Linked DNA regions of Solanum lycopersicum. The protein of the gene in region 2 interacts with the protein of the main gene of each other region in a pairwise test. Links are inferred from orthologs where the notes say so. Each region holds a gene or a part of one and is shown on either strand. Other genes may lie near its edges.

Region 1 (6,345 bases), on a different chromosome or scaffold from region 2:
GCAACAAACCACTGTGAGTTAGAGCAGCCTGCTGTCTTGCTTCATCAGAGACCTCGGACTCTGGCTTGGGAACTTGAGGTCTCCCCCAGAGTAGCTTCAGTCTCAGGCCCTTTATCACCAGCTTGTTTGCAAGTTCCTCAGCTGCCTTCACCGCACCTTCTCTAGTCGTGTAAGTTACAAAAGCACAACCACGCTGGACCACCATTTTAATGGACTCAATTTCACCATGTGCATAAAAATGGTCCCTAAGGTCCTGCTCAGTGATTCTTGCATCAACACCACCCACATAGAGGGTTCTAATGCTCTCGTCATCAGGGGGCTCCAATGAAGGCATTTCACCTGCTTTATTAAGTAGCTTTAAAGCCACTGGATCATTGACTCTGCAAGCATTTAAGATACATCAGTGAAGATTTTGTCAGTCAAAAATGTAGGATAAATACATCTCTGTAAATGAGAACAGGGTATATAATAAGCAAAAGAAAAGTGACCAGCAAATAGATGTCATCAATAATCAGCCTAGCCATCACGTAATCTTGGAGAGACAAAGTAAGATGAGTTTCAAAAGTGCATAGAGTATTTAATTCATTGGTCATGAAGAAAATGGTATCTATCTAGAGTTAAGTGTCTGAACTTAATTATGTCTATAACCATGGAGATGACTGGGTTCTGCATTCTTGCCAGTTTCGGCAATTATTTGAACCTCAACAAGCTGTTAAATCACATGAAAAAGCATTCACAAAACATTTCTTCTAGGACTTCCATTGGTGATCGAGTGCAAGGATTTGAACAAGATGGCATTAAAGAAATTTAAACAAGGCTCTACTCCAAAAAAAAAAATACTTAAATAACGTATAACTCAAACACAAGCAGAGAGGATTGAGAAACCAGAAAGGAATAAGTCACGGAATAAAGTATGGGAATGAAGACTACCAGTGGTAGAAAGCAATTACACCACACATTCACACAAGCATTTTTTAGCTGCAAAACTATAAAAAAATGATTATAATATATTGACAGCAGGACGACTTTGTATGTCAGATCTGAGATAAATTTACATGTTTATATATGTTTTTGTTTATAAATTCAATGAGGGTAAACAAGCAACTCAATATAAGCTATTCACCTCCTGAGTCAGTTGACCAAGTCCACATACTGTCTTCCCACATTGAGATATATTTTACTTAAGTTGTTTTGCTTCTCCTTTCTAACATGATAAATGAGAACATAATCTCTGGGTCAATTCCCCTTTTTTCCTCCTACTTGCTGAACTGATGTATTATTTAGTTATACAACAACATACCCAGTGTAATCCCACAACGATGTATTATTTACTATTTTATATAACATTGTGTGGCCATGAATCGCTGGCCTTCATCCCATATTAGCATTGCAACTGAGGGAAACAGATAATGTGTCTACAGTGACTAGTAAGTCTTCTAAAAAAAGTGACTAGTAAGTCTTCATGAACATATCAACAGAAAAGTGAACCGCCATTCTCACACCCCAAGCAAAATTAAAGACCAGAAACCCTATCACAAATATGTCAATACAGATATATGAGCATCATTCCAAAAAGGAGAATTTCACATCAGCGACAAAGAATCAGACTGGCATACCCATAGTAACGGTCTTTGATATTTTGCTGTGACAATTCCCCTGTTTCAGGCATCTCATGCCGGTAAGGACACTCCAAACCTCTTGTACATTGACCACGTATGTAGAAACTGCAAACATGTGCCCGATTTCTCTTGTAGTATGGAGTTGTTCTTTGAAGCTTCATGATAGTATCATTTGCACGGACTTTTCCATATGAAGATTCATAATCAATACCAGCCCTTGCCTGGACAAAAATTTAAGTATTACTTTGGGGAAAACCAAGAAAACAGCATTTTTTTTTTGTGCTTCTTGAAAATTCTAAGCCCTTATTTTCACCAGGTTCAATTTCTTCTCCTAATTTAAAACTGCACCCCATCCCTAAGTAGTTCCCAGCAAGATTTGGATCGGAGGTGTGTGGGGCGGGGTGGGGGGTGGGGTAAGTAAATTAAATATAAGTTGGGCTTTCACTTAGTAAATCACATACCCTTCGGTCATGCTCCTCTGCAAAATATTCTCTATTTACGTCACTCTTTGGGATGGCATCATTTGAGTTGATACTGAGAGCAGTGTCTCGGACCTGAACAGGCAAACCATATTCAAGATCTAACAGGCAAACTTGACAAACATTCTTCAATTTGCTGCAGGTCTGACAGATCTCAGACTTTTTGTATCTCGCATCCCGACCAGGCCTCCACCTGAACACTGTGAAGGGTCGCGTGCAGATCTTGCACTCCTTGTCATAATCTGCTTTTGTCTGTACAAAAACCATAACAAAATCAAAAGTCAGATAGTGAAATTGGAGAAAGAAAGATTATAGTAGAGGACATGCAGCTAAAACCAAAACAAAGTCAAAGGCCCGACTTATTCTACTGCCAAAATGGAGACTCTTTGAGCAAGAAATTAATTCCTAATATGTATGGAGAGAGTAAACATCGTAACAATGTGCCAAAAGTAGTGGCAAATCAGGAGAAGCTGTCGATGAGTAAAGGTCCAAACAAAGAGCTTCAGAAAGCCACAATGATTATAATGTAAGTGGTCTTGCCTAGCTACACGTAAATAGAATTCAAAATACAGTTTACTGCAGCTAGCACAAAGATAAGCAATTAAATAAATGCTACCAGAGATTAACAGTCCTTACAGAAAGGCTAATAGCCTTTCCTGTAGAGCAAATCTGACAAACAACTTACTTAAAAATTTGATAAAACACTACGTTGCTGCCTCCATCAAAGGATCCAGCCACATTCTTCACGCACTTCACATTCTTAAGGAACGCTACATTAGGAATTGGACTCCGTGATCTTTCAAGGTTGAGAAATGACAGTCTTTACCCTTTTAAACTTCAATAAAGCCCCCCCCCCCCCCCCTTCTTTATTTGATTTTGCACAATAAACACATATATTTCTACAACTACTGATCATTCCTACTGTATTAATAAATTGGGGCACTTGAAATAAATGAATTCTTAAAAAATCACCTAAAAAATTCTGAAAATGAACTTCTAGTTGTATTCAGAGTAACCTTACTATATTCCCCTAAAACCATATCAATCAACCAATCATTCAACTTCGCCTTATTCACATACTTTACTGTTGCCTATTTGAATCTGCAATCTCCATCAACTCTAGCCTCTTTGCACCTATATTCACCTATAACTACAACCAGAAATTTCTCAACTTCTTCGCCGAATAAAGTTTCCTACCCTTCCACCTCAAATCTCAATAGCAGATAGGAGCAATGCAAATAAGAAAAACATTCCTCGAGTATATTTTCAATTTGTAGTCAGCAACCAAAGGACTGGAGATTATTATAAACCCTAGGACCATTCACGGCCTTTACCATAACAAAAATTGAAACGAAGAACTTACCATTCGCACATAGGGACTGTCACCGAGACACGACTCGCATATAATAGGGAAATCAGATCGTTCCCATCCATCAGCTTCAGCATCTCTCAGCAACCTATGCGCCATCGTTTTCTAATTCCTAAACTTCAATCTGCAAAACAAATGAACTTTTAAAAGCTCATTCCAAGCTATTTATTACATATTCTATAAGAATCTTAACCTAAAGAAACAGAAATCTGAAAAAAGGTGAGAAATCAATAGTACCTGATTAAGAGCAACTTAGGCTAGTGAAAGTTATTTGAATGCCAAAATCTCGCTTAGCAGACTCAATTTTATATAGAGCTCAGAGACGGCGGAGATGGCTGTTGTCGACGGCGGAGAGAAGAACCTTCCGACGAAGGACAGCGAGGCAAATAGCCCAGCTCAGCCGGGCGAAGAGAGATAAGAAGACCTTTTTCAAGTTGATTTCCGTTATTTTGAATTTTAAAACTATTAATTAATTAAAAAAATAAATTTAATTTTTATCATGATAAAAATAGAAAAAAAAGTAATTTAAATAATTTTTTTTATATATAAATATATATTACAACAATACATCGATGAAATCCACAAGCCCATTCTCTTTGTATGAAAAGTAGGAATAGGAAATGTCGTAGGTAAAGCTGTCCAGTACTACATTCGTAAGCCTTTCATGTATTGCATGCGTTTATTAAATCAGCTCAATCATAAAATACTATATAAAATATGATTATGATAGTCATTTCCCTAACTACTTCAATGATTAATTTACATCCTGTCCTTGTTATAGTATAATTCAATCTAAACAGTACCTTGTGTTATAATTGAGAAATTTTATTGCTCGGATCGTCTAGTCAACAACCATGAAAGGACACCCTTTTTTTTCAAGAGAGAATTTGTTTCTGAAAGACAATTTGCTTCTTGAAGCCACCAAAGAAAAAAATGGCCTAAATCTATAAAAGCAGAATAAGTTGAACTGGAAATTACAGAATATCAGCAGATGTTAGGTTCAAAGAATTATCAATAACAATGTCTAAAATCCTTCCCCATCAACAATGAATTATCCCAAACTAGACTTAGCCATCTCATACGCCAAGAAACATGCAGCATTTGCAGGGACACTACGTCCCATAGCAGGTCCAAAGCCCTTGTAAAGGCCTTTGACTCCCTCCGATGCCAAGATCTTCTTGAATGCATCAAAAAAGCCAGAGAATTTTGGGTTTTTATAGTCATCGATTTGGATTACACTCTTGATCACGTCTGTTGGATACACCGAAATCCAGAAGGAACCACCAGCCAGGCCACCTGCTACAATAAGAGAACCTCTTCCCAACCCTGAAGTGTCTGTGCCTCCTGCAAAGTACTGCTTTAGTGCTTCATACATGCCAAACATAGCAGCATTTCCGGGGATTTCACGTGCCATGGTGGGAAACAAGCCCTTGAAGAGACCCATCATGCCTCCTTCGGATCGAAGAACATGTCTTGCTACATCCATTGGCCCTGCATATTTCACTGCCACAGCAGCTGAGCCTACACTTGCCAATGCACCCTGAGCTTGCAATCTACAGTCATGTAATTTAACGAGTAAATTGACAAGTATAGAAGTTGATTCCTAGTAGTTTTGATCATTTGACCGAACAATGGTAACAAAAAGTTGAAAAGTAGATAATGCACATGTCACTACTAAGGATACAACATGGCAAAAATAAGCAAGGGAAACTTTGTGAAGGCTGAATTATAATGCACTAGAAACAAACCTGCATTTTATAAGCTCAGTTGGGCAAGCAAGAAAAGAGACAGCAGTTCCGGCAACAGCCCCACAAACAACTTGCTGGCTCACAGTAAGAGGGACTCCAGGTTCAGACCTCAAGAATGCCTCTGTTTGACCTCTCACGGTGAAGAGCAGAGCATTAAAGGCTGCAACAGTGGCAAGTGGGGCTCCCATGCCTTTGAACAGCCCCCCGGCACCTTCCGCAGCTAATGTTTGCCGGACAGCATCTATAGCACCAGAATATTTTGGAAGCTGCCCTGGAAGTGGAGTAGGCTGGCTTTGAAGCTTGACCTTTATGGTATCAAAAGGGTGACCAACGACCAATTGTGCTACACCACCTACAGTCCCAGCTGTTAAATCCTTGGCTATATCACCCATTGGAAAATCTGAAAAAAAGAAAAGGGGGAAAAACAATTCTCAGTCTAAATGTAAGCTATTAGCTACTGTATTCACTGTTTACAATTCTCAATTGTAGAAAAAGAATGATTTGCTGGGAAGGAGCGGACCTCAAGAGTATATTATCAAAGTTAAGCTTAAAGCTTCTGCTAAAAGTTGGTGCAGTGGAAAAAAGAACATTAATCTTTACAGTCAATAGCCATGAACCTATATAGTAAACAACACTAGGCGTCATTGATGTAATAACAAGTCCAGCTTGGGTGTTTGTGGAGTGACCACAAATTTATGAGTAAATAGCACCAAAAAGAATCCAGGTAAAGTTCTTCTCAACGATATTATTCACAATTTTACACCTCCCAGCCTGAGGCACTCTGATAATCAGAAACTGATATGTCAGATGACAAAAAAAAACAGATCAAAAGTTTGTATGCTAACTCTAATTCTCTAGATAATTTTGACATTGGTGTCCTATGAAAGTCGCCTAGTTTAAAACCAAAGTGATCAAACTGCTTCTGCCTACAAATTATCTACACACAACGCTTGACAAAAGGAAAGAGTGAGACAGCTAGTTAGAACTCCAGTACTATCCCATTATCATTTGCTCATTCATAGTAAGGAAGGACTAGATTCACAAATTTCTCCCTGTATAACCGCCTAACCAAAAACAAAGAAGCAAAAAAAATAGACATGTACAAGAATCTCTTCCTTTGATTCTCGACT
Region 2 (6,235 bases):
AATGAACACTTGACATGCATGGCACCAACATGAAGGTTTTTCACAAGTATTTCACCCTTCTATTTACTATATATATATAAACAAAGCAGCATCTCAAGTTGGAAAAGAGAAGCTCATCCTATAACTGACAAATCATAAGAAGGGAAGATCAATTAGTCTGGATTTTACCAATTGTATCAAGCAGCATCTTAGAACACGTACCAAAAGGTACATTACACTACCAATATTTTTTGCCCTTCATTGGGAATATTGGCACCAATGCTAAAAAGGGTTGTGTTTTCGAACCATAAAGGAAACATCACTCCCTTTAAAACAGGGCTACTAAACATAACTAAACCAGCTCCTGTCTGAGCACTAAAAAGAAAAAATGAAAGAAATAATTGGACAGCAAAAACAATATGCATTTCCAGAAGCTCTCAGTCGTAAGCCTTGTCCCAATCGTCCACTACATCTGCCATATCATCGATCCCCACATCTTGAGGTTTGGGAGGCAAAACTGAACCCCCCACTTGTGTCTCAGTAACAGGTTCCTTGATTGTAATAGATGTCCTGGGCAAGCTGGAAGCAATTTCAGGCTCTAAGACACTCCACCTATTAGACGAGGCAGTAGGTGGAGCTTCATTCGCCCTCCAGGCAGAAGGGGCTGCTAAATCAGTGGGATTCTTGGACCATTCTTCAGCATCCCATAGGCTCTCTCTCAAATGAGGCTCCTGGACTACAGCCTTCTTCCATGGATTACCCTTAAGAGCTGATGCAACTCCTCCCGCGTCCTTGGCTCCTCCAGAGACTCCCCAAACATTAGTAGTGGATGCCACTGCTGATGCAACACCACTCTGATGAACTACAGCAGCACCACAATAAGCCGACCCCTGGTCTAGCCTTCTCATAGCTGTTGCTGCTCGGGCAGGATCACTGAACACAGCCAAGGCATTCTTGTCGTTCAACCAGACAAGCTCGCACTCACCACCAAACCTGAGAACTAAGGCACTAATGTCTGCATCTCTTGGCAAGTCAAACAAAGCTACAACAAGCCTTGGATCCATATCCACCAGAGAATCAAAAACAGCAGGCTGAACAATGTTATTGACAGTACAACCTTTAGGACCAAGTATACGACTTGGAGCTTTGGACTTGGGTATAACATGTACAGCGATGAATCTTTTGGGCTCCCAACCAGCTGCATTTACTGAAAGCTTCCATCTTGCAGCTATCAGTCTAATTGCATCCCGCTTTTCTTTCAACATTGGGCAGAAAACATGAACTTTGAGCGCATTCAGCCCCCCTCTGCTCCTGCCAAGAACCAAAAACTTGCATCTTTCCTCTATAGACAACACCCACTTAGCGTCCCGCCTAAGAAGATCCCCCAGCACTTCAGAGACAGCTGCATTCTCACCAAAATGGAGGGACTCAAGATTAGGGGGGGTTATACCAAAAGCATCAGAAAGAACCTTTTTCTTCTCCATCTTTGCACACTCGTCATCACAAGTAAGCTTCCTCTGACCGAGAGGAACCTTCTTCCCATTTATTTCAATAGGTTGAAGAGATGAAGGCAGCTTGTGGATTATAGAGGCTTCGAGAACAGAGTCAACGATCTGACCTCCAGCATCACAAGGAACATTTGCTGTAATCCGGCCACAAGAACAAGTAATAGTGACAGGAAACTCACATCTAACATCAGGACATGAAGAAGAGGGATGACAGAGAGCAGTACATGTGTGCCTGCAATCTCTTCTAGGAGCACCACACGTCTGCCCACAAGAGGCTCTGGAGCCATTGCTAGGTCCAGCAGAAACATCACATGGCGAAGGATGACAAGTTCTAGCACATGAGTGCAAGCCACACTGCCTGGTCTTCCCACAAAGCTTGTTACATCGGATGTCCTTTGACCCGCAAGGTATGTTCCTTAAAATTACATGTCCACCAACGCACTCTTTTGCTACAGGAACAGCACATGGCAAGCAGTCTCCAAAATGGCAGCTGTGAGTAGGTGGATGGCCACAAGGCTGAGAAACCGAGCATGGTAGCTGACACGAAGGAAGAGGTGTGCCACAAGGTAGCGGAGGAGGGATTGATGTTCTCCCACAAGCACAAGTCAAATCGGTGAAAATTGTCTCAAGGCAGGGAGGGCAGTGACCACTGTGACAAAGCGACTCGCAAGAATGCTGCCCACATCTAAGCTTCTTCTCACACGGCATTGAACAAAAATGAGGATTCCAACCACCAGTTATGGAATTTTTTGGATTAGAAAGAGGGCAACATCGCTCACTACAACGGTGCCTTCCACAGTTCTTCTTTTGCCCACAAGGTCTATCACAAGTGAACTGCTCATCTTCTGCCTGCGTTTTGTAGCACTCCACTGTTCGAGAGGTTGACCCACAGCGGCAGCGTTGAGTCACAGGAACAAGACATGGTGCACAGTCACCAGAATGGCACACAGCTTCACAGCGATGTACCCCACAACGGAGACGCTTTCCGCAGACCTTGGAACAGGTTGGAATTGGATCCAAACAACTGTGCCTTTCTTCTTCCAAGCTGGTTTTACCGCAACAGCATGTCTTGACCTTGCTAGGCAACAAAGCACAGTCCCCACATGGCCCTGGATGGCAGAGCTCACGGCAGATGTGATTTCCGCAACAAAGCTTCTTTCCACAAACTGAATTGCATGAAAAGACGCCATCCTCCATCTTGATATCTCCTTTCACACCCATATCTCCACAAAGAAGAGACTCTGTTTTCTTCTTACAAAAGCAATGGGCATCCACAACAATTTGACAATGGCCACAAGGACCAACATGGCAAGTCTGTTCACACCGATGACGCCCACAGTCAAGAAGCTTACCACACTGCTGTCCACATGTAAGAACGGACTTCCGATCAGAGCAACGAGTGGTAATTACTTCCTTTCCGCAGGGACAACTTCTAGCTGGAGCAAATGCCTTACAAGGTGGACAAGGACCAGGATGGCACTGTAAGACACAAACATGAGGGCAAAGATCCTCTTCACTCAGACCATTCCCTGGAAGCTCCTTCTCAAGTTTCTTGCCACAAGGCTCCCCACATGAATGTGGAGTCAAGTATAAATCTGAAGGGGGGTCTTGCCTCTTCCCACAAAAGCAAAGATACCGTATGTCCCTGGACGAAGTGAGTTGGACTGATTGACAACCTGGGCAACGCCAATTAAACCTTTGATTCTTCTCCGCAGATGTGTCAACAGAAGTTGGAGCTCTTGCCCATTTCTTGGTACAATGCAAATGAAAAATCGAGTAGCAGCTCGAACATGACCACATGGGCGCAGACCTCCTCACCATATCGTAGCATATCATGCACTCGATGTTTCCCTTCAAAAGCTTCTCCTCTATTTCTTGCACAAGTTGAGGCAAATTAGGATCTTTCACCCGCTCTTGATTAATCCTCCCACTGACCTCCCTGACCGGCCTCTCCATCTTGTTCTCCTGATGATTATAGCTCCCCCTGCCCCTTCCCCTCTGATTCCCATACATCCCCCTATTGAATTTAGGTTCCCCATAGGTCTGATTTTGATTTTGAAATCGATTAAACGGTGCAGATGACACATTCTCATTGTCTCTTCCATTCCCACCAAACACAGGGGTCACAACAGTGGTTGTTGTTACCGGGGTAACAGGGGCAGCTGAAAATGGAACAGTGTTGGTTGGAGCAGATCCCCTAGCTACCCACTCACGACGAGCACCACCACTTTGAACAACAGGATTATTATTATTGTTTCTAGGCCGATTACTGTTGTTATTCCTTCTATTGTTTTGTGCAGGAAAGCTCATATTCTGACTTGAATTTCTTATTAACCTATCCAACGACAGATTTCTATACAGAAAAAAAAAAGGGGAAAATTCAGAAAATTGAAAAAAAAAAGGAATTCAATTTCAAACCCTAAAAGAAAATTTTTCAATACCTGATTCGATGAAACAAAGATCAAACAGCCCGCCGAAGACAAAATCCAGAAACAGAAGAGAGTTTTGATTCTCCGGAGTCGGCTACTGAATTTTCTGTGGAGAAGATGACGGAGGAGGATGAAGAAAAGAGGAGTAATGAAAGGTATAAATAGGGCTAAAAATTCGCCTTGGTGAACAAGCAAAAATTGGACAGCTGACATATTTTACTTGGACAGGATGCCTGGTACGTCGGTCCCAATTTTCTTTTTAATTATTTTTTTGTTTTATAATTTTGTGATACATTCTATACATTTCTAACAACATTATTTGTTCATTATTTCAAGATTTAATAACACAAAATTAAGTGGAAGAAGAAGTTGAGACTACACTAGTTATAAAGTTTCCAAGAATGTAAGATAATTTTTTTTTTATTTATGAATACGATTGTTAATTTCAATGGTTTTTGAGTTTTGAATTTGATAAAGATGGATTTGTATGTTGATTTCTGTAATTGGTTGATGATTTTCTTTTGTGGTGGTTGGATATGGTGATGGAGTGGTGGCGGTAAATAGTAGATGAAGGAGATGGACAGAAAAATTTAGGTATTTCGCGCGCGTAAAACAGTTATAATACATGTGTTATGTCTTGTTTGTCGTTTGTGTTTAATTTTGACACATTTTTAACTGACATAATTAGTTATAGTGTTTTTTCAGATGCACAAAATCTTTGACTCGTGAAGGCATTGTAAGCTTCAGTATCTTTTAGAGTTTTTTTTATAATATCTTTGAGTTGATAATGCTAAAGTTGTGCGGTGATTTTTATGATTGGTTAGTGGATTTCTTTTTGGTCGAAATATGGTGGCGATAATAGTTATGGTGATGGAGTAGCGGCGATATGGATGACTAGGGATCGATCTCCCTCTTAATGTTTTCTAATTCGAGCTTGTCACATAAGACTTGCTTACGGCTTACATCCCTGTGTAGTTTGCAGGCTACTATAGAGAGGGGGTTACTACTCAGTGTGCACAAAGTGCTCACCCGAAGGGCAACAAAGGTTATAAAAATTGCGGGTTATCCTTTTTTCCAAAAATAAATAAATATAATACACGTGTCATAATATTGTCAATCGTTTGCGTTTAATAGGTATGTTTTTAAATGACACAAGTTAAAAGTTATTTTCTCAAAAAGTACAAAAAGATTTAACTCATGAATACGATGTACAATTCCATTACTTTTGAATATTTTGTAACATCTTCAAATTGATGGCGATGGAGTTGCGTAATGATTTTATGAATAGTCAATGACTTTCTTCTTGGTTGAAATATGATGGTGATAGTGGTTACGGTAGATTAATTACGGAAATTTCGCCTTTTATTTTACTTATTATTATTATTATCCCCTATAAGTTTTATAAATTTTTAAAATTTCTCATTTTCGCGCATCACATTAATGTACCTCACACATCAGATTAGTGTATCTCGCGCATCAGATTAGTATATCTTGTGTATCAGGTTAGTGTATCATGTATAAAATGCAACTCGCGCATGAGATTAGTGTATCATGTATAAAATGTATCTCGCGCATCAAATTAGTGTATCTCGTGCATTAGAGTAATGTATCAACGCTTATAAAATTATATCCTTTTTTAGAAAGTTTTGTAATTATAAAAAATTTAAGAATAAATTTAAATTTAAAAAATTGTTGTTTGCCCTAAAAAAAAGTACAAATGAATCAGCGGATTAGAAGTTGCATTTGAGCACATGATCCAATTGAAAAATGTTGGTAGGTATTCGAGGCCCAATTTGCTTTGAGAGCCCAATATCCATCAAAATTGCGAATTAATACATTTTTTAAAATAATTACTGATTTTAGTGATTTTTTTATTTATTATCATTTATAGTAATATTATGATAAATTTTTAATATATATTAAAAGTGAATTATATATGCAATATATATGAATTATATTTTTTTTAAATATATTATGTTTGTTTGGTAAAAAACAGTCACATTGTATTATAAGTGTATCAAAATATGTGATAAATGTATTATCACATATTTTAATATATATTAAACTTGTATAGTAAATAAATTAAAAGTGGTCAAGTGAAAAAAAATATTATTACTATAAACGGTAAATATTTTTTTATTATAATATATTTATGTAAGTTTCCAAAGTAATATCTCATTCTTAAAACATATATTTCAACATAATATTATATTCAAATCTAATATTTGATCATATATTTCTCGATCTTACATATGAAATATATGATTGCTAAATTACCAAATACTAAGTGAAAAATTTATACATATTCAAAACAAAAAA

The links. The genes of interacting proteins can lie anywhere in the genome.
Region 1: the proteins of NF-X1-type zinc finger protein NFXL1 (region 2) and Zinc finger transcription factor 61 interact in binary tests that used the Arabidopsis thaliana proteins (3 or more experiments, as listed by UniProt). The link is inferred for Solanum lycopersicum from reciprocal best matches to the Arabidopsis thaliana genes NFXL1 and MAC5B.

The regions. Positions count from the first base shown.
Region 1 is NC_090809.1:59,942,996-59,949,340, forward strand, and holds the start of Zinc finger transcription factor 61, read right to left. Parts: upstream 3,870-6,345; 5' UTR 3,705-3,869; intron 3,592-3,704; 5' UTR 3,567-3,591; coding exon 3,462-3,566; intron 2,351-3,461; coding exon 2,081-2,350; intron 1,841-2,080; coding exon 1,617-1,840; intron 381-1,616; coding exon 1-380. Other genes in the region: mitochondrial carnitine/acylcarnitine carrier-like protein, read right to left, coding at 4,519-5,020, 5,216-5,607.
Region 2 is NC_090802.1:64,151,898-64,158,132, reverse strand, and holds NF-X1-type zinc finger protein NFXL1, read right to left. Parts: upstream 4,166-6,235; 5' UTR 3,929-4,165; intron 3,841-3,928; 5' UTR 3,798-3,840; coding exon 417-3,797; 3' UTR 140-416; downstream 1-139. UniProt on the Arabidopsis thaliana protein: Mediates E2-dependent ubiquitination. Confers resistance to osmotic stress such as high salinity. Promotes H(2)O(2) production. Negative regulator of some defense-related genes via an salicylic acid (SA)-dependent signaling pathway.